2 linked regions of the Struthio camelus genome follow. The protein of the gene in region 2 interacts with the protein of the main gene of each other region in a biochemical or structural test. Links are inferred from orthologs where the notes say so. Each region holds a gene or a part of one and is shown on either strand. Other genes may lie near its edges.

Region 1 (9,415 bases), on a different chromosome or scaffold from region 2:
GTCCCCCGCGGCCCGCTCGGCGCCGCTCACCACCGCCCTGCGCACCGCCGCCGACCGCTGACGGTCCCGAAACACCCGGCAACACCCCCGAAACCCCCCCGGAACCGCCCCCGAACCCCCCCCGAACCCCCCGCCCCCCCCTTCCGCCTCCTTCCGCCCCAAATCGCCCCCCGTGTCCCCCGCGGCCCGCTCGGCGCCGCTCACCACCGCCCTGCGCACCGTCGCCGCCGCCTGACGGTCCCAAAACACCCGGCAACACCCCCAAAACCCCCCCGGAACCGCCCCCGAACCCCCCCCGAACCCCCCGCCCCCCCCTTCCGCCTCCTTCCGCCCCAAATCGCCCCCCGTGTCCCCCGCGGCCCGCTCGGCGCCGCTCACCACCGCCCTGCGCACCGTCGCCGCCGCCTGACGGTCCCGAAACACCCGGCAACACCCCCAAAACCCCCCCAAACCCCCCCCGAACCCCCCCCGAACCCCTCGCCCCCCCCTTCCGCCTCCTTCCGCCCCAAATCGCCCCCCGTGTCCCCCGCGGCCCGCTCGGCGCCGCTCACCACCGCCCTGCGCACCGCCGCCACCCCCCCCGAAACCCCCCCGAACCCCCCGCCCCCCCCTTCCGCCTCCTTCTGCCCCAAATCGCCCCCCGTGTCCCCCGCGGCCCGCTCGGCGCCGCTCACCACCGCCCTGCGCACCGTCGCCGCCGCCTGACGGTCCCGAAACACCCGGCAACACCCCCAAAACCCCCCCGGAACCCCCCCCGAAACCCCCCCGAACCCCCCGCCCCCCCCTTCCGCCTCCTTCCGCCCCAAATCGCCCCCCGTGTCCCCCGCGGCCCGCTCGGCGCCGCTCACCACCGCCCTGCGCACCGTCGCCGCCGCCTGACGGTCCCGAAACACCCGGCAACACCCCCAAAACCCCCCCGGAACCGCCCCCGAACCCCCCCCGAACCCCCCGCCCCCCCCTTCCGCCTCCTTCTGCCCCAAATCGCCCCCCGTGTCCCCCGCGGCCCGCTCGGCGCCGCTCACCACCGCCCTGCGCACCGTCGCCGCCGCCTGACGGTCCCGAAACACCCGGCAACACCCCCAAAACCCCCCCGGAACCGCCCCCGAACCCCCCCCGAACCCCCCGCCCCCCCCTTCCGCCTCCTTCCGCCCCAAATCGCCCCCCGTGTCCCCCGCGGCCCGCTCGGCGCCGCTCACCACCGCCCTGCGCACCGTCGCCGCCGCCTGACGGTCCCGAAACACCCGGCAACACCCCCAAAACCCCCCCGGAACCGCCCCCGAAACCCCCCCGAACCCCCCGCCCCCCCCTTCCGCCTCCTTCTGCCCCAAATCGCCCCCCGTGTCCCCCGCGGCCCGCTCGGCGCCGCTCACCACCGCCCTGCGCACCGCCGCCGACCGCTGACGGTCCCGAAACACCCGGCAACACCCCCAAAACCCCCCCGGAACCGCCCCCGAACCCCCCCCGAACCCCTCGCCCCCCCCTTCCGCCTCCTTCCGCCCCAAATCGCCCCCCGTGTCCCCCGCGGCCCGCTCGGCGCCGCTCACCACCGCCCTGCGCACCGTCGCCGCCGCCTGACGGTCCCGAAACACCCGGCAACACCCCCAAAACCCCCCCCGAACTGCCCCCGAAACCCCCCCGAACCCCCCGCCCCCCCCTTCCGCCTCCTTCCGCCCCAAATCGCCCCCCGGGTCCCCCGCGGCCCGCTCGGCGCCGCTCACCACCGCCCTGCGCACCGTCGCCGCCGCCTGACGCCCCCAAAACCGCCGGAATCTACCCCAAAACCTCCCCCTGCCCCCTCCCCACGACCCCCCCGGCCCCTAAACCCCCCCTGAACAGCCCATCTGCACCCCCCCACCTGATTTTGGGGCGGGTCTTGCCCTATTTTTGGGGTCCTGAGCTCCCCCCCCCAATTTTGGGGGGTCTCACCCCATTTTGAGTGTCCTGAGCCCCCCCTTAATGCCCCCCCACCCAATTTTGGGGGATCTCACCCAATTTTAGGGGTCCTGAGCCCCCCCCCTTAGGGCTCCACCACCCAACTTTGGGGGGGTCCCGGGGGGGGGGTTCTGCCCAATTTAGGGGTCCTGAACCCCCCACCCCCTTTTGGGGAGGTCTCCCCCAATTTGGGGGGTCCTGAGGCCCCCCTTGAGACCCCCCCACCCAGTTTGGGGGGTTCTCACCCAGTTTTGGGGGTCCCTGCCCAATTTCAGGGTCCTGAGGTCCCACTCGCACCTAGTTTGGGGGGGGGAATCTCACCCAATTTTGGGGGTCCTGAGCCCCCCTTTAAGACCCCCACCACCCAATTTTGGGGTGCTGAACCCCCCTACCCCCTTTTGGGGGGGGATCTCACCCAATTTTGGGGGTCCTGAGCCCCCTTAAGACCCCCCCACCCACTTTTGGGGGGGTCTCACCCAATTTTGGGGGTCCTGGGCCCCCCTTTAAGACCCTCACCACCCAATTTTGGGGGTTCCTGCCCAATTTTGGGGTCCTGAACCCCCCTACCCCCTTTTGGGGGGGATCTCACCCAATTTTGAGGGTCCTGAGCCCCCCCTTAAGACCCCTCCACCTAGTTTGGAGTGATCTCACCTAATTTTGGGGGTCCTGAGCCCCCCTACCCACTTTCGGGGGGATCTCACCCAATTTTGGGGGTCCTGGGCCCCCCTTTAAGACCCCCCCACCCAATTTGGGGGGGTCTCACCCAACTTTGGGGGTCCTGAGCCCCCCCCGTTAAGACCCCCCCACCCAATTTTGGGGGTCCTGAGCCCCCCTATTAGGGCCCCCTACCCACTTTTGGGGGGGTTCTAGGGGAGAGGGGGGCCTTCCACCCCCCCACAATAAAATTGGTGTTGAAAGTGGTTTTTTTCCTGGATTTCGGGGGGTCCCGGTGGCTTTGGAGGGGGGGGGGGCGCCGCTCATTAGCATAGCCCCGCCCCCCGGGCGGGACCGACCAGCGCTCGGTACGACGCTCATTTGCGTAGCCACGCCCTCGGCGACTCAGTGCCGCCGCTCATTTGCATAGCCCCGCCCCCGAGCGGGCCGACCGCGCTGCTCATTAGCGTAGCCACGCCCCGCACGGCTTGTCCGCGGTGCTTATTAGCATAGCCACGCCCCCCCCTCGCCCCGCGGTCACGTGTCCGACGGCGCGGGCTCCCGCGGGGATATTGGCGGCGGGGCGGGGGGGAAGGGAAGCGGCCGGCGCCACGTGGTCCGCCCCCCGCCGCGCTCATTTGCATAGCTCCGCCCCCTCCCAGCCGTGTGGGGTGGTGGTGGCGGTTCAGGTGACCGCGCTGCCGTCACGTGCTCGCTCCCTCCCGCCCATTGGAAGGAAGAGGGAAGGAGGGGGGAGGCCCCGCCCCTTCCCCCGCGCCGCCCTCCCATTGGCCGCGGCGGCGTCACGTGCGCCTCCTCCCCTTCTCCCCCCCCCTCCCCACCACCAGCTTCCCCCGACCCACCAGCCAATCAGAGGCAGCGGCGGGGCGGCTTCGCTTCCGCTTCCGGCGCGCGGCGCGGCCCCTCCCCTCCCCTGGCCGCGGTGCCCTCGCGCCGGCGGCGGCCGTTGCTGCGCCACGAGCGGGGCCGCGCCATGGCGGAGCGCGCGCGCGCCGCGGGGGCCGCGCCCCGGCCGGTACCGGGCGGCGGGGGGAGGGGGCGGTCGGGGGGCGGTTTGGGAGGGGGAGGGGCGGTCGGGGGGCGGTTTGGGAGGGGAAAAGGGCAGTTAGTGTGTGTGGGGGGGGGAGGGGCGGTTACGGAGGGGCCGGGGGCAGTTCTGGGGCGGTTAGTGAGGGGGAGGGGGCGGTTTGGGGGCGGTTTGGGGCGGTTTGTGAGGGAAAAGGGCAACTAGTGAGGGGGAGGGGGCGGTTTGGGGCAGTTAGTGAGGGAAAAGGGCAGTTAGTGAGGGGGAGGGGGCGGTTTGGGGCAGTTTGTGAGGGAAAAGGGCAGCTAGTGAGGGGGAGGGGGCGGTTTGGGGCAGTTTGTGAGGGAAAAGGGCAACTAGTGAGGGGGAGGGGGCGGTTTGGGGCGGTTTGTGAGGGAAAAGGGCAACTAGTGAGGGGGAGGGGGCGGTTTGGGGCAGTTTGTGAGGGAAAAGGGCAGCTAGTGAGGGGGAGGGTTCGGTTTTGGGGCAGTTCTGGGGCAGTTAGTGAGGGGGAGGGGCTGTTTTGGGGCAGTTAGTGAGGGGGAGGGGGCAGTTTGGGGCAGTTTGTGAGGGAAAAGGGCAGTTAGTGAGGGGGAGGGGGCGGTTTGGGGCAGTTAGTGAGGGAAAAGGGCAGCTAGTGAGGGGGAGGGGGCGGTTTGGGGGCGGTTTGGGGCAGTTAGTGAAGGAAAAGGGCAGTCTTGAGGGAAAGGGGCAGTTTTGGGGCAGTTTGTGAGGGAAAAGGGCAACTAGTGAGGGGGAGGGGTCGGTTTTGGGGCAGTTCTGGGGCAGTTAGTGAGGGGGAGGGGGCAGTTTTGGGGCAGTTAGTGAGGGGGAGGGGGCAGTTTGGGGCAGTTAGTGAGGGAAAAGGGCAGTTAGTGAGGGGGAGGGGCTGTTTTGGGGCAGTTTTGGGGCAGTTAGTGAGAGAGGGGCTGTTTTGGGGCAGTTAGTGAGGGGTAAAGGGCAGTTAGTGAGGGGGAGGGGGCAGTTTGGGGGCAGTTAGTGAGGGAAAAGGGCAGTTAGCAGGGGTGGAGGCAGGTTTTGGGGCTGTTTGTGAAGGAAAAGGGGAGTTAGTGAGGGGGAGGGGGCGGTTTGGGCCAGTTTTGGGGCAGTTTGTGAGGAGAAGATGGCAGTTAGTGAGGGGGAGGGGGCGGTTTTGGGGCGGTTTGAGGGGAAAAGGGCAGTTAGTGAGGGGCAGGGGTGGTTTGGGGGGGAGGGGGCGGTTTTGGGGCGGTTTATGAGGGGAAAAGGGTGGTTAGTGAGGGGGAGGGGCGGTTTGGGGGCGGTTTGCGAGGGAAAAGGGCAGTTAGTGAGGGGCGGGGGGCAGTTTGGGGCAGTTAGTGAAGGAAAAGGGCAGTTAGTGAGGGGGAGGGGGCAGTTTTGGGGCAGCTAGCGAGGGAAGAGGGCACTTCCTGGTGGGGCTGGGGCGGTTTTGGGGCAGTTAGTGAGGGAAAAGGGCAGCTAGTGAGGGGGAGGGGGTGGTTTGGGGCAGTTAGTGAGGGAAAAGGGCAATGTGTGAGGGGGAGGGGCTGTTTTGGGGCAGTTAGTGGGGGCGGGGGGCAGTTTCTGAGAGAACAGGGCACTTACTGCTGGGGAGGGGTCGGTTTGGGGGCAGTTAATGCAGGGGAGGGGGTGATTTGGGGCAGTTTTGGGGCAATTTGCGAGAGAAAAGGGCACTTAGTGCGGGGGGGGGGGCGGTTTGGGCCCTGTTGGTGTGGGGGAGGGGGGGGATGCGAGCCGGGGGGGGCGGGGCCGCTCGGGGGCAAGTCGCTCGGGGGCGGGGCCTGGCCGCTTGGGGGCGGGGCTTGGCAGAAGGGCCAGCCCGGACGCCTGGGTCCCAGCTGAGCCCCCCCCCCCCCTCCCGGCCCCGCAGTAGCCCGGCAGAGCCCCCCCCCCGCTCCAGCCCCCCCCCGCCGCCGCCGGCAGCGCCATGGCGGAGGGCTGGGTCGACTGCCCCGCGCTGGGGCCCGGCTGGAAGCGGCGCGAGGCTTTCCGCAAGTCCGGGGCCACCTGCGGCCGCACCGACACCTACTACCAGAGGTAGGAGGGCCCTGCCCGGACGCCTGGGTCCCTCCCCGGACGCTTGGGTCCTGCCCCGCCCCGCCCTCCCCACACCCCGGGGCGGGGGCCCAGGCGTCCGAGGTGCTTCGCAAAGCCGGGAAGGGACCCAGGTGTCCGGGTATCCCCCCCCCCCTCTACCCAGGGTACCAAGCTTGGGGGTGGGGTGGGGCCAGGCCTAGCCCCGCCCCTGGCTCCACCCCCACCCCTGATTTGGGGGAGGGGATCCCCCCCGTGTGCCTGCCTCCTTCCCCCTCTTCCCCCCCCCCAATACACGAAGTTCCGCCCCACTGTTTCAATGGGCTTTCTGCAGTTTTGGGGCTCCCCTGGTGGTTTCAATCCCCCTCAAATCTCTCCTGGTGGTTTCAAGGCCCCCCGCCGGTTTCAGGGTCCCCCAGGCAATTTCACCTCCCCCCAAAGCTCTTAGGGTTCCCCTGGGTTTTTGCCCCCCCCCCCAACCCGATACCTTTTCCATCATTTTTGGGGCTGCCAGGCCCTTTTTCCCCCCTGCAGAGCTTTCCTGGGCGGTTTCGAGCTTTTGTGTTTGGGTGGTTTCAAGAGCCCCTCCCTCAGGTGTTTTGGGGCTCTCCCTGATTTGGGGGGGCTGCCTGTTTTTTGGGGGGTCTCAGGGTTTTGGGGGCACCCCCAGATCCCCCTCATTGCTTCTGGGGCTTCCCAAGCCCTCCAGCCCCCTCCCACCCCAGTTTCTTTTGGTGGTTTTAAGGGTTTTTCTTTCATCTGTGGTTGGTTTCAAGGGCCTCCCTGAGTGTTTTTGGGCTCCCCTTGCTTTGGGGAGGCTCCCGGGGTTTTTGGGGGGCCCCAGGGGGTTTTGGGGCCCCCCTCGGTGTTTTGAGGTCCCCCTTGCTCCCCCACCCCCTCACTTCTGGGACTCCCCAGGCTGTTTCCCACCTTCCCTTAACTTTTCTTGGTGGTTTCAAGGCTTTGTCCTTGTTCCTCCTGGATGGTTTCGAGGCCCCCCCCCCCGGGTGTTTTGGTCTCCCCCAGTTTTGAGGGGCTCCCCGGATTTTGGGGAAGGGCAGGGGTTTTTGGGGACCCCTTCAACATCCCCCCCCCCCAGCACTTGGGGCTCCCCAGGCTGTTCCCTTCCCAACCTTGGCGGTTTCAAGGTTCCCCTTCGAGAGGTTTCAAGGCTGCCCCCCCCCGGGTTTGGGGGCTCCCTGGGTATGGAGGGAGCAAAGGGGGGATTGGGGGGGCCCCCGCGTTTTGGGCCCCCCCCCCCCGTGCTGACGTGCCGGCCGCAGCCCCACAGGGGAGAAGTTTCGCAGCAAGATCGAGCTGAGCCGGTTCCTGGGGCCGGGCCGGGACCTCGGCAACTTTGACTTCAAGCACGGCCTGGAGCGCCCCGGCGCTGTCAAGGTGCGCCCCCGAAACCCGGGGAGGGGGGGGGGACACCCCCGAAACGTGGGGGGGGGGCACCCAGGAGAGGGGAAGGGGGGGCCCCACAGCCGGCGGGGGAGGCTGCGGTGCGCAGAGGGGCAAAATGGGGGTGGGGGGAAGTGGGCACCCTGAGGGGTTGGGGGGGGTTATCTGGGTGCTGGGGGTGGGGCTGGAGCGCCCTGGGGTGTTGGGGGGGGGGACTGGCCCCAAAATGGGGGCTGGTCCCAAAAAATTGGGGGGGGGGCAAAATAGGGGGATCCCAAATGGGAGCTGGGAGGGGGCTGAAATTGGAGAGAGCCCAAAATGGGGGGTGTGGGGGGGTCACTAAAATGGAGGGGGGTCGTAAATGGGGGCTGAGGGGGTCTCCCAAAATGGGGGGGCTGCCAAAATGGGGGCTGGGGGTGCCCCAAAATGGAGGGAGGTGGTCCCAAAATGGGGGGGCCTCAAATTTGGGGGCTGGGGGGGGTGGGTTAAGATGGGCGGGGCCAACTGGAGGGGTCCCCAAACTTGCCCTGCCCCCCCCCCGTTAACCCTTCTCTTCCCCCCCCCCCCCCAGGCCAGGAAGGGCCCCAAGTGGCGCCCGCCCCCGGCGCCCCCCCTGGCGCCGGCGGAGGAGGGGCCGGCGGGGGAGGGGGGCGCCCCGGCCCCCCCGCCCCTGCCGCCCCCCCCTGCCGCGGCGGCAGCAGCCGGGCCGCCGCCCCCCTCCCCCTCGCCCGCCGGCGCCCCCCTGCTGCTGCTGCCCCCCTCCCCCGCCCCGGCCGCCGCCCCCCCGCCCCCCTCCCCTCCCCCCCCGCCGCCCCCCGCCCTCCCCCGGCGCACCCGCAAGCGGCCCCCCCCGGAGCCCCCCCAGGACCGCGTGGTGGCGTGAGTGCGGGGACGCCGGGGCCCCTGGGGGGAGGGGGGTGGGGCTTTGCGGGGGGGGGGGCGGCGCTCTCGGACGCCTGCGGGGAGGGGGGAGGGGGTCCCGGACGCCTCGGTGCTTGGTGGGGGGCATCCCGGACGCCTGGGCCCCTTCTTTGGGGGGACACCTGAGTCACTGCGGGGGGCGGGGGTGTCCCGGACGCCTGGGCCCCTGGTGGGGAGGGGGGGGGGGATCCCAGACCCCTGGGGCCAGGTCCCGGACGCCTGGGCCCCTGGTGGGGAGGGGGGGGGATCCCAGACCCCTGGGGCCAGGTCCCGGACGCCTGGGCCCCTGGTGGGGGGGGGGGGGGATCCCAGACCCCTGGGGCCAGGTCCCGGACGCCTGGGCCCCTGGTGGGGAGGGGGGGGGGATCCCAGACCCCTGGGGCCAGGTCCCGGACGCCTGGGCCCCTGGTGGGGAGGGGGGGGGATCCCAGACCCCTGGGGCCAGGTCCCGGACGCCTGGGCCCCTGGTGGGGAGGGGGGGGGGATCCCAGACCCCTGGGGCCAGGTCCCGGATGCCTGGGCCCCTGGTGGGGAGGGGGGGCGGATCCCAGACCCCTGGGGCCAGGTCCCGGACGCCTGGGCCCCTGGTGGGGAGGGGGGGCGGATCCCAGACCCCTGGGGCCAGGTCCCGGACGCCTGGGCCCCTGGTAGGTGGGGGGGGGGGGGGGATCCCAGACCCCTGGGGCCAGGTCCCGGACGCCTGGGCCCCTGGTAGTGGGGGGGGGGGGGGATCCCAGACCCCTGGGGCCAGGTCCCGGACGCCTGGGCCCCTGGTAGTGGGGGGGGGGGGGGATCCCAGACCCCTGGGGCCAGGTCCCGGACGCCTGGGCCCCTGGTAGTGGGGGGGGGGGTGGTTCCCGGACTCCTGGGCCCTTTCTTTCAAAAGACACGTGGGTCTCTACGGGGGCGTCCCGGACGCCTGGGTCCCTTCTTTTGGGGGGATACCCGGATGCCTGGGGCTCTGGTTGGGGGGAGGGGTGACTCCCGGCCCCCTCGTTTTGGGGTGGGGGGGGAGGGGTCCCGGACGCCTGGGTCCCGGTGCCGCAGGTGCTGCGCCAGCTGCCAGAGCCTCTTCCCCGGGGTGACGCTGCCCAGCCAGCGCCGGTGCCGCTGGCTCTGCCCCGAGTGCCGCGGTGAGCCTTCCTCCCCCCCGCTCCTCCTCCTCCTCCTCCTCGCTCCTAGGGGGGGTCCCTGCGGAGCCTTCCTCCTCCTCCTCCTCCTCCTCGCTCCTAGGGGGGGTCCCTGCGGAGCCTTCCTCCTCCTCCTCCTCCTCCTCCTCGCTCCTAGGGGGGGTCCCTGCGGAGCCTTCCTCCTCCTCCTCCTCCTCCTCGCTCCTAGGGGGGGTCCCTGCGGAGCCTTCCTCCTCCTCCTTCTCCTCCTCGCTCCTAGGGGGGGTCCCTGCGGAGCCTTCCTCCTCCTCCTCCT
Region 2 (9,422 bases):
CTCCTGTATGTTACCTGCTGTTCTTCAAAAAAATATGCACACAACTTTCTCATGTCAGAGAGTAAGTGGGACAATGGAGGACAAGCTCTTCTTTCCAGAAAACAGATTTGTTTGGTGCTTTGAAATCACTTAATTTGAGACTCTTTGGAAAAGGATTTTATTTAATAAATTCCAATTGTCCATTAGCTCACATGTTGTTAACGTTACTTTTTCTTTTGAAGTGGGATAGACTCTTTAGCTAGAGGTTAAGCATGAGAATCCACACTGCAGATGATAATGCCTGGTCATATCTCAAGATACTGGTAGGTTATGTTAGTGTAGTAGAAACAAATTTAACAAGCTATAAAAATACATTTTTGTCAATTCCTTCTTTGCCACTGAACTGTCTCTTAACCACTGAACTGTATCAATCTTGTTGGTACAGAGGCTTACAAAATTACAATTTTCTTATTAAAAACAGAGGTGAAGTTTGATCTAGTTTGTTATATTATTAAGTGAGGTGGAAGGTAGTAAAGTGAGAGGACAACTCAGAACAGAGAAAAAAGACTGCTAGGTGCTTAACAAACCTAAACACATCTGCTCAGTAAATAGATGGGCTAGGTAATACAGCAAAGTCATAACAGAGTAAGTTTTGACGAGAGAACAGCTGTGCAGCAGAGTACTTACTTGATGGTTAGTAAATTTATTATTAAAACTATTATTATTAAATCTGAGAGGAATAGAGCGGTTAAAGGCTTTTTCCCAAAATCCTTTCTCTTATGACCCCTAAAAGTAATAGAAAGATAATATTAGCGTATTTTACAAAAGTCATGTAATTGGAAGGTATCTACAGTGAAAAGTAACCCACATGAAAATGCCTTAAATAATTTCAGTTCATTATAGGGAAAATTCCTCAGATGTTTTGGTTACATTTTACCAGGCTTGTGATCTTTGTATGCTGTTAAGTTTAACTTTTAAAAAAAGTCTAGTAAAAGCCTTATTTTCACAATTTCATCCTGCTGGCTGTGCTGTAAGTTTTTGTATGAAAAAAAAGAGATGTGCACTTATAGTAAAAAGGAATTTTAAAAAATCCTCTCTTTGCTTTTCTTCATCAGAAGGGTATCATGCAGTTCCCTTTTGAGCTATGTTTTAAGCCTCCCTGGTGAAATTCTTGAAATTCTTGAGTCACTAAATCACAGGTTACATTGTCAAATAGGTATGTTTTTTTTTTTCTCACTGTACATATTTTTGTTAGTGAACAAAAACTTGGAAAACTCACTATTATTTTCTGATATTACAGTGTTTCTTTCACCCTGTGTAAGACTATTTATAATCAGAGAAGTCTTAATCATTCCATCCTATTAGGCTTTTACTGTGCAAGAAAATATTTATTACTCTACTCCATTACCAAGAAAATTAACATAAATGTATTGGCTTAAAAGTGTCATTTATTTATCAAGGTGATCTTGTGCAATTACATACTTTCCAGCAATTATTTAAAAAATAAAATGGGTACTTTTTTCCATATAACTAACCATTTATCATGACATTTTGATTTTTTAAAAAGACAATCATTTTCTATATATATAAAGTTCATTTTCATCCTGAGAGCTACACCTCTTCTGTGCATCAATTTACATGCTTCCTTTTAGGTTTCCCATTTGTGACTCTGCAACATCTCCATTAGCAGTTATTAAATCATATGGAGAGGAGTAATATTGGGAAATATTCAAGGTATCAAGCCTCGTTTTACTAAAACAATTTCAAGTATAGAAAGCATCATGTAATCAGCTTATTAGTGATCTGTTGTTCACAGGCTGGGAACCACCCTTTAGCAGTTATGTGGATATAAGAAAATTAAATGTTATGTGCATACACCAAGACTGAAATTCAGTGTCTGAGGACATGAAGATGAAATTCTCTGTTGCACATAAAATAGTATAATTTTCTTTTTTCCAAGCACATTAGAATCTATTGGTCTTTTTCTCTGTGCTTATTATTGCAATGTCTGAATACCTTAGCAGATTCCTCAGACAGGAAAGTGAACTACACGGACAACTACTCTTTTATGGTGTTGCAAGTTTAGTATCTTGTAAATTTAACTCCAGTGAAGTATTTGCATTACGCATCACTGTTCTCAGCAAAAAAGGAATTTTTCAAATAAAGAAATGTCACTGAAGTCATATATTCTCAATGATTGTTTATTTTAACTTTCTTCTTACAAATAATCTGAGCAGTATAAACTGATACACAGTCACTATTTTGCATTTATAACCAATCTGACTTCAGCAAGAGCAGTTAACAGAAATCTGGACTTTGCCTTCCTCAAATTACTGAGCTGACAATTTAGACATTGTCATTGCTCTTAAAATTTAAAGATGTTAACTCGCCGCTTATATTGGTATCTCAAATGTCATTGCAGGGCACTTACTGTATCAACTATAGCATTGAATTAATACAACTGTGGACTAAGTGAACAAATAAAGTACAGTTTTGTTTTTGGGGGGTTTGTTTGTTTGTTTGTTTGCTGTTAAGGCTCAACAGGATTATTGCCTGAGAAAGAAGCTAAAAAAACCACATTCAATAAAATGACTAGGAATATTTTTTAGTTTTTCCATAAAACCATTTTTGAAGAAATGACAAATAATCTGAAACATTTAAATGATAGAAAATGGGTATGGTATGATACCATAATGAACATATTAGCATAATTTGTGCTAGGTAAAAGAGGAATTAAATCTTTCCCCTTTAAGAAATAATTGTTTTGATACTGATTTCCTTTTAATCTTTACTGTCTTTAGTGACCAACAGTTAGTAGCTCTGAAAAAAAAAATTACCTGGTTTTGGCTGGTTGTTTAATAGTTTGTCTTTCTGTAACTGTTATGGAGCAAAGGAAGTTTTTAAAGTCCACTTTTGTCTTTGCCACAACTCTTTGCTGAAGTACAAGCTCATGTTCTGTCTTTCCAAAAAGTAGGCGTACAACAAGTTAAAGGCAGTTCCATATAAAACTTTGAATATATTTGTGTCTTGTCACCCTTGAAATGTTTAATTTGTTGGTAAATGGCTAATATTAAAAAATGCTCCCTAAACAGTATTTGAAATATTTATGAGTAGTTCTTTAAAAATAGCTTTTGGTCTACTGGGCCTTGCACAAACTTCCCATGCTATTAAGCGTAAGATTAAGTGTTATGCAACTTTCGTATTTCTGTATTTCATTACAAACTTGGCTCTCTGAACTTCTTTCCAAGATTTCTCAGTTTCTGTTTGCTGTGGACAAAATACAAACTTTGGACACCTGGAATCTTTGGAACTTGAAAGAACAGTGGCATATTATTAGACTTATAAACGCTTCAGAGATTGTCCGCCATCTAAAGTCTGGGGACAACCATAATCAACAGCATTCCACCTCTTCTCTTAGTAGTCAGTTGGTCTTCTAAAGCTGATTAAGCTATGTCCTGTGATCAGTCGAAACAGATACTGGGATCGACAAATAAGATTTCTTTGAGGCATTCAGATTTTTGCTACTATCCTTTCCTCAGAGAGCCAAGAAAGATTTTTATAAACATTCATTTCATGTTGCATTTCTATGTTTTCTATTTATCTGTGACAAAATAACAAGCTAATAGCAGCAAATTCACACCTAAATGCACACTTAATAAACTGTATATTCTTTAGGGTGACAAATCCTCCCTCCTCATTCTTCCTTCAGGTACATGAAATGCATTGCAGTGGAAAAAATACTATGTTGCTGTAAGGGCTTCCGTACTAAATCAAGTTTGGAATACCACCAATTGTTATCCAAAGAGATGATTATATTAATATCCAATCTTCTGAGAATATGCATCTTAGCCTGAAAGTTTTTACTCCTGATTGATCTCAAAGGATGTTTATGCATGGATGCTGTAAAAGTGCTCACCAGCAGTGAAATGCAAGTTAAATAATAGGTACAGCTAGTAGTTGCCCACTTCTGGATAGTTCTAGCCTTTTCTACCTGAAATATCCTGTCCTCTGCTTGTGTGCAAAAGCACAGAAGACTCAACTAAAATCCAAACCTCCCATTTTCCAAGATAAAACATTCTAGTACTGACCTAGAGCTCCAGGAGCTCTGATAAAGCTAGCTGTGAAAATTTTAGAAATTATTGTCTCAGGTGTCTGCCACACTTCCTGCCAGAAACTGCCATGCCTGCTGCAGGGACAGCAGAGCAAGATGGCCATTCACACTTTGGCTGTTCAAGTTCCCAGGCTAGTACACCTACTCAAAGCACTTTTGTAGATGTGCTGGCCCAAAATCATGGGGCGCACATGCACATCTCCCGCTGCCATCTTCGCTGTGTAAGTGGAAGCATTCAGCAGAGACGTCAGGCAACCCACTGGGAACGGCAACATCTTAAAAACCTGCTGCTCAATCTGTAAAGTGCTTCTAGCAGAACCCTTGCAAAGCCTATGCCATATAGGTACTGCTTCACTACATACGGGGACGCAGCAGGCTCTGCACATGACTGACAAAAACTCTTGCTGTGTATTTAGCACACTCTTGAAGTAGAAAAATCAGGATGCCATTTTTCATTGTGTATTTTAAGCCTTCAACAGGAAAAATGTCAGTTTGCCTAAACAGAGGGAAAGGGCCTCTCCCTTCATCACGGAGTCAGTGGGCAACAGGTACTTGAGTCTCAAAACTAGTGTTGAGCTAACTCTCAAGCAGCTGTGGACAATATTCATTTCTGCTTTTGGTCACAGAACAGAATGCGCCAAGTTAAGGCTCAGATTAAAGTAGATCCCATGCTCTTCTCCCCCTGCCCCCTTTAGGTAGAAATTGAGGGTGAGTGGGAAATGGTCACTGCAGATTTTGACCTGCTGATCACCCAGGCTAAGCTGTGCACCTCTGATGTACTTCAAGTACTGCTAACAGCGCTTTTTGGTTTCTTGACACTCCTCGAACCCAAAGCCGGCTATTAAGAAAACCTCTGTGTTTTGGCCAGGTGCTTCCTGTCATAAAGAAAACTTGAGGTTACCCCCAGGACAGCTCAAAAAACCTAACAACAGGACAGGTAAGGAAGCTGCAGCTAGCGGTGCTGGAAGCTGGTGATGCAGGTTATTTTCTGAGAAACCCAGAGGCCCTCAGTAAGGCTTTTCACATGTGCTAGGGAGGAGATACCCTAGAGGCCAAAGCAGCCACGTCCCACTGGGGCGGGAAGGCGAGAGGCAGAGCGAGGCGGCTCCTTCCGCCCTGCCCCCCCGGGCCCCCGCGCGCCGGGGCAGCGCCCCCTCGCAGCCGGAGCCGCCGCGCGCGCGCCTCGTTCTACCCTCAAACGCCCTTGGCCGCAGCACGTTATCGCGAATAACCGTCGGCAACCGCCCGCCAAGGGGCGGAGCCAACTGCTCATTTAAATAACTCGGCGGCTCATTTGCATGCTGCCAAGATGGCCGGCCCTGCGATTGGCCGGCGGCAAGGCAGCCCCCGCTGCCGGCCCCTGTGCCGGCGAAGGGGGCGGGGCCAGCCGGGAGAGGGGAGGGGATAGACGGCTCATTTGCATAACGGCCCGGCGCGTGCGACAGGGGGAGGCGGCGTTGGTGCCTGAAGTGGGTTCCGATTTTGAATCTACGGCGGCAGCGGAGAGAAGACAGGAGCGGCGGCCGCCGCCGGAGCGCTGAGGCAGGGGCTGCCGCAGGACGCAGAGGCACAGGTACTGCACGTCCCGTTCGGGCTGCGGGCGGCGGGTCGCGCTCTCACTGTGGCCGGGTAGTGGCAGCACTTTATGCCGAACGCTGACTCGGGCTGTGGGGCTGGCCGCAGTGCGCATGCTCGGGAGCTGCAGCTTTGCACACGCGCCACGCACCCACACTCACAAGCGCACCACAGCTACGCGCATACTGCATGGGAGCACGTGACTCGGCTCCAGTGCAGGCGGCGGCGCGCATGCGCGTTGCTGTTTTTCTACTGAGGTGGTGGCAAGTGGGGAGCGTGGTGTGGGGACGTTTCCTCCTCCGCCCCCGACGCTCCCTGCCGCGGCCGCGGTGGGTCACAGGTAGGTCTGATGGGGGCAGGGCAAAGCTCGGATTCTGGATTGAGCCCTGTAAGGCAGCATGAGCCTGGAAGTAGCAGGCAGTTGTCCCTCTTTCGGTCTTCTTGTTGTACATGTGTCAGGTGAGGTGGGGGCGCTCTTTTACACCACGCCAGAGGGGTGTTTAGGTGTGGGACAGGGGCGGATCTGGCTGTGTAGTGCCTCGAAAGCACTACCTTACATATGTCTGGATTGGGGATAGCATCACCTAAGTGGTGGTGTATGTAGTTGGTGAATATACTCCTAAGTATAGCAGATGTTAAAAGTTGAGCATCGTGGTTGGATGGGTTGTGGAAACAACAAGTAGAAAACTGTTCTTCTTGTTGCGCTCGATAACATGCTAATAAAATTTCAGCTAAAAGTTTCTGAAGCAAGCGTGCTTGTGAACTTAGTAGAAATGAGGGTATTTCAGTGGGGAAAAAAATAGGCTAGTTCTTCGTTATTTATGTGATGTTGTCAGTAGTTTATTATAAAATGAACTAAACAAGGCCAGAATTGTTATTTCAGGTTGTCCTGGAGGCCTGTGTTGAACAAAATGGCTTAAGTTAACAGTGTAGTATGTTCATATAAAGAATTTACATTTGATCTTCTAATTTTCTTTATACCGATGTATTTTAAAAAATTGAAATCTTAGTTTAATACTACATTTTAATTCTGGGGTGACACTGGAGCATTTTAGAGATGTAGCATTGTTCTCAACTGTTTTTTTTTCTCTTAGCAGGTATATTCCCTTCTAATTAGGTCTCCTAATGAGACCTTGATAGATATCCAGTGGATATGCCTGCATTAGAATATTTTGTTGCATAACAGTCATCTTGAAATAACTCTGCATATTGTGATGTCAGTGTGACCCTTAACACTGAGAGGCTTGTTGGATAGCATTCTTTTGATGGAAAAATGTCCATCTAAAATGGAGAGGGGGAGATAAGCATTACTTAGCCCTACTCTGTTAGGGAACAGTCATTAAGGTTAAAACTGCTGCCTTCGTGCAGTCACAGACAAATAAACGCTTGTAAATCTAGACACCTTATTTAATGTGGCATCTGATTGTCAGAAATAGGACAATGTTTTAGAAAATATATGTTTGGTACGTTCCCCATTTTATACAAGTAAATACTGTTCTTATGAATGAATTTATGGGAATTTGCATCTAGAAGATCAATAAATTGTATAAGCATGCTGTCTGGATTTATTTTGCAAGTTTAAATACATTTCAGGCCATCTTCTATTGTAACAGGTTGTTCTAAATACAGTTATTGCAGTTATTAATACTGAGTTTATATTTACTTTTTGTTTATAAAATGTAGAGAATGTACTTAATGTCTGCTTAAGCCTGGTATAAAAAGGCTAGATATGAAATCAGTACACAGAGAACTAATAAGAATGTAAGAAATAAGTATAGGGTTTTTTTTCTGATTAGATACTGTTTTGGGCAGTCCCAAAGGAAGGTATGAAGGAAAGTATTATCTTGAATATTAAAAAACTCTTTAAAGTGCCCTGCTGTTATGTGGTATGTGATCTTGGGTAGGTAATTTCTCAGTTTGCCCATCTGTAAAATGGGACTAATGGTAGTTATCAGGACAAACATTAAATGCACTCACTGATGTTTGCTTGAGGACTTGTACAGTTGACGAATCTTGGCAACTAAAATAATATTTTTATCCTCAATTCTTGCAGTTATTTTTATATGCTCTGGAAGTATCAAATTTAGATTTTGGGTACATATAATCCAAAAAAGAATGGCACTACTCATTTTTAATAGCAGTAAGTCTTTAGATAGATGCCAAATAATTAAAATGCAGAAAATGTGGTTTTGGTACTGTTTACAAGTAACTGCTCATGTGTACTCTTTTTCAAAGAATCTTACGAGATCTTCATGCTCTCATCATTATGATTTTGGTTTGGTAGACTTGTTACGTTGCTTCCAGATTTTTTTATGAGTTGCAACCTTTTACAAAGTGTAGCAATACTGAACTAATGCTTCCTATGATTTGTGGAACAGTTTTGTATTTTGTTGTATGAAGTAATTTAATAAGATTATTTTGAATGTTCCATAGGTTTGAAACTGATCTTACATGATTGATTCATAGGAGAATACAGTAATAATATACATAATTTAAAACAGTTCATTTAATGTTGCTGTTGTGGGACCTCTTTATTTCTTATTTCCCACCTATTATGAAGTCTGTTTTCAATAAGATGCTAGTCCCTGTAGACATGCATATATGCTATATTCTTCATTGTTTGCTAATATCTCCTGCTTTGGCTTGTATGCCCATTTCACATATTTAGAAGCTCAACATGAACTGTAGTATGTTAATTTTCTTGTAAAGGGTCCTTTGGCAGTGCTTTCAGAGTTTGGGGATAAGGACAGGAAACTTGGTCTAATAGGGAGATAGTTTGTCCCAGCATGAGATGATGTTGCTAGCCAAGAGCCTGAACTTCTTAGATATGAAAATTATGTTAAAACATGTTGAATTGTTTCTCTGCATGCTAGCTATTCTGTAAAATAAATATTTAAAATTAAACTATGTTTTAAAACTATTTTAGTAACTGATTCATAGAGAATGAAGGCAGTGCTTTTCAGTGTGCTTGACTGTGATTTTTTGGGAGACTTCTTTTCTTCTTTAAAAAAAAAAAAAAAAAAGATATTTCCACATTGAAAAATAGCTGACCAAACCAGATGTTGTATTTTTCTTGCAAAACAAGAAAACAGCAGAGTAATTTTCCCCAATCTAGATTTTTTTTTTTTTTAGTATGAATAATAATTAGCTGGGCTTATCTGGACTTACTGTCAGAAATTATGTTTATGCCAAAAATCTCAAGGATATATATGAAATATAGATAGGAAGGCCAAAAGATACTTTCTCAGTATGTTGCTGTCATTCTTACTCAATGTACAATCTTAATGCATTTACTATCCACCTAATGTTTTTCTATGTTGTGTGCTAGTCATATGTTTATTTTGGAAATTACTGCAGTGTCACAGATGTACATTGTAGTTTTCCTAAGGGATATTAGATGAGAAAATAAGTTGTGAGTTGTAAAACTATTATATTTTCTGTGTATGTGAATGTGAATTTTTTGTTTTGTTGTTTTTTTCCCCCCAGTATATTTTGATGAATCTCACTCTTAAATGCAGTGAAATCTAAGATTGTTAATATTTTACAGTAAGAATTTTACAGTAAGGCTAGACTGTTTACTTCTCTTTAGTATATGGCATTACTTTGAGAGGCTTATCTATGCTTACATAATGACTGAGAATTCATAGGCTGCCCAACACAATTTTTACGATGACATTTTTACGATGTGTATTTGTAACTCGGGAACTTCATTTATGGTCATTGTACTGTGTGCTGTATTGTATGAAAAAGCGGCTCT

Evidence for each region.
Region 1: the proteins of ATF7IP (region 2) and methyl-CpG-binding domain protein 1-like form a complex in vitro, tested with the Homo sapiens proteins (2 studies listed by BioGRID). The link is inferred for Struthio camelus from reciprocal best matches to the Homo sapiens genes ATF7IP and MBD1.

The regions. Positions count from the first base shown.
Region 1 is NC_090979.1:627,943-637,357, reverse strand, and holds the start of methyl-CpG-binding domain protein 1-like, read left to right. Parts: upstream 1-5,501; 5' UTR 5,502-5,558; coding exon 5,559-5,668; intron 5,669-6,948; coding exon 6,949-7,063; intron 7,064-7,640; coding exon 7,641-7,763; intron 7,764-7,874; coding exon 7,875-7,948; intron 7,949-9,037; coding exon 9,038-9,123; intron 9,124-9,415. UniProt on the Homo sapiens protein: Transcriptional repressor that binds CpG islands in promoters where the DNA is methylated at position 5 of cytosine within CpG dinucleotides. Binding is abolished by the presence of 7-mG that is produced by DNA damage by methylmethanesulfonate (MMS).
Region 2 is NC_090942.1:55,721,018-55,730,439, forward strand, and holds the start of ATF7IP (activating transcription factor 7-interacting protein 1), read left to right. Parts: upstream 1-5,481; 5' UTR 5,482-5,663; intron 5,664-5,784; exon of another isoform or gene 5,785-6,005; intron 6,006-9,422. UniProt on the Homo sapiens protein: Recruiter that couples transcriptional factors to general transcription apparatus and thereby modulates transcription regulation and chromatin formation. Can both act as an activator or a repressor depending on the context.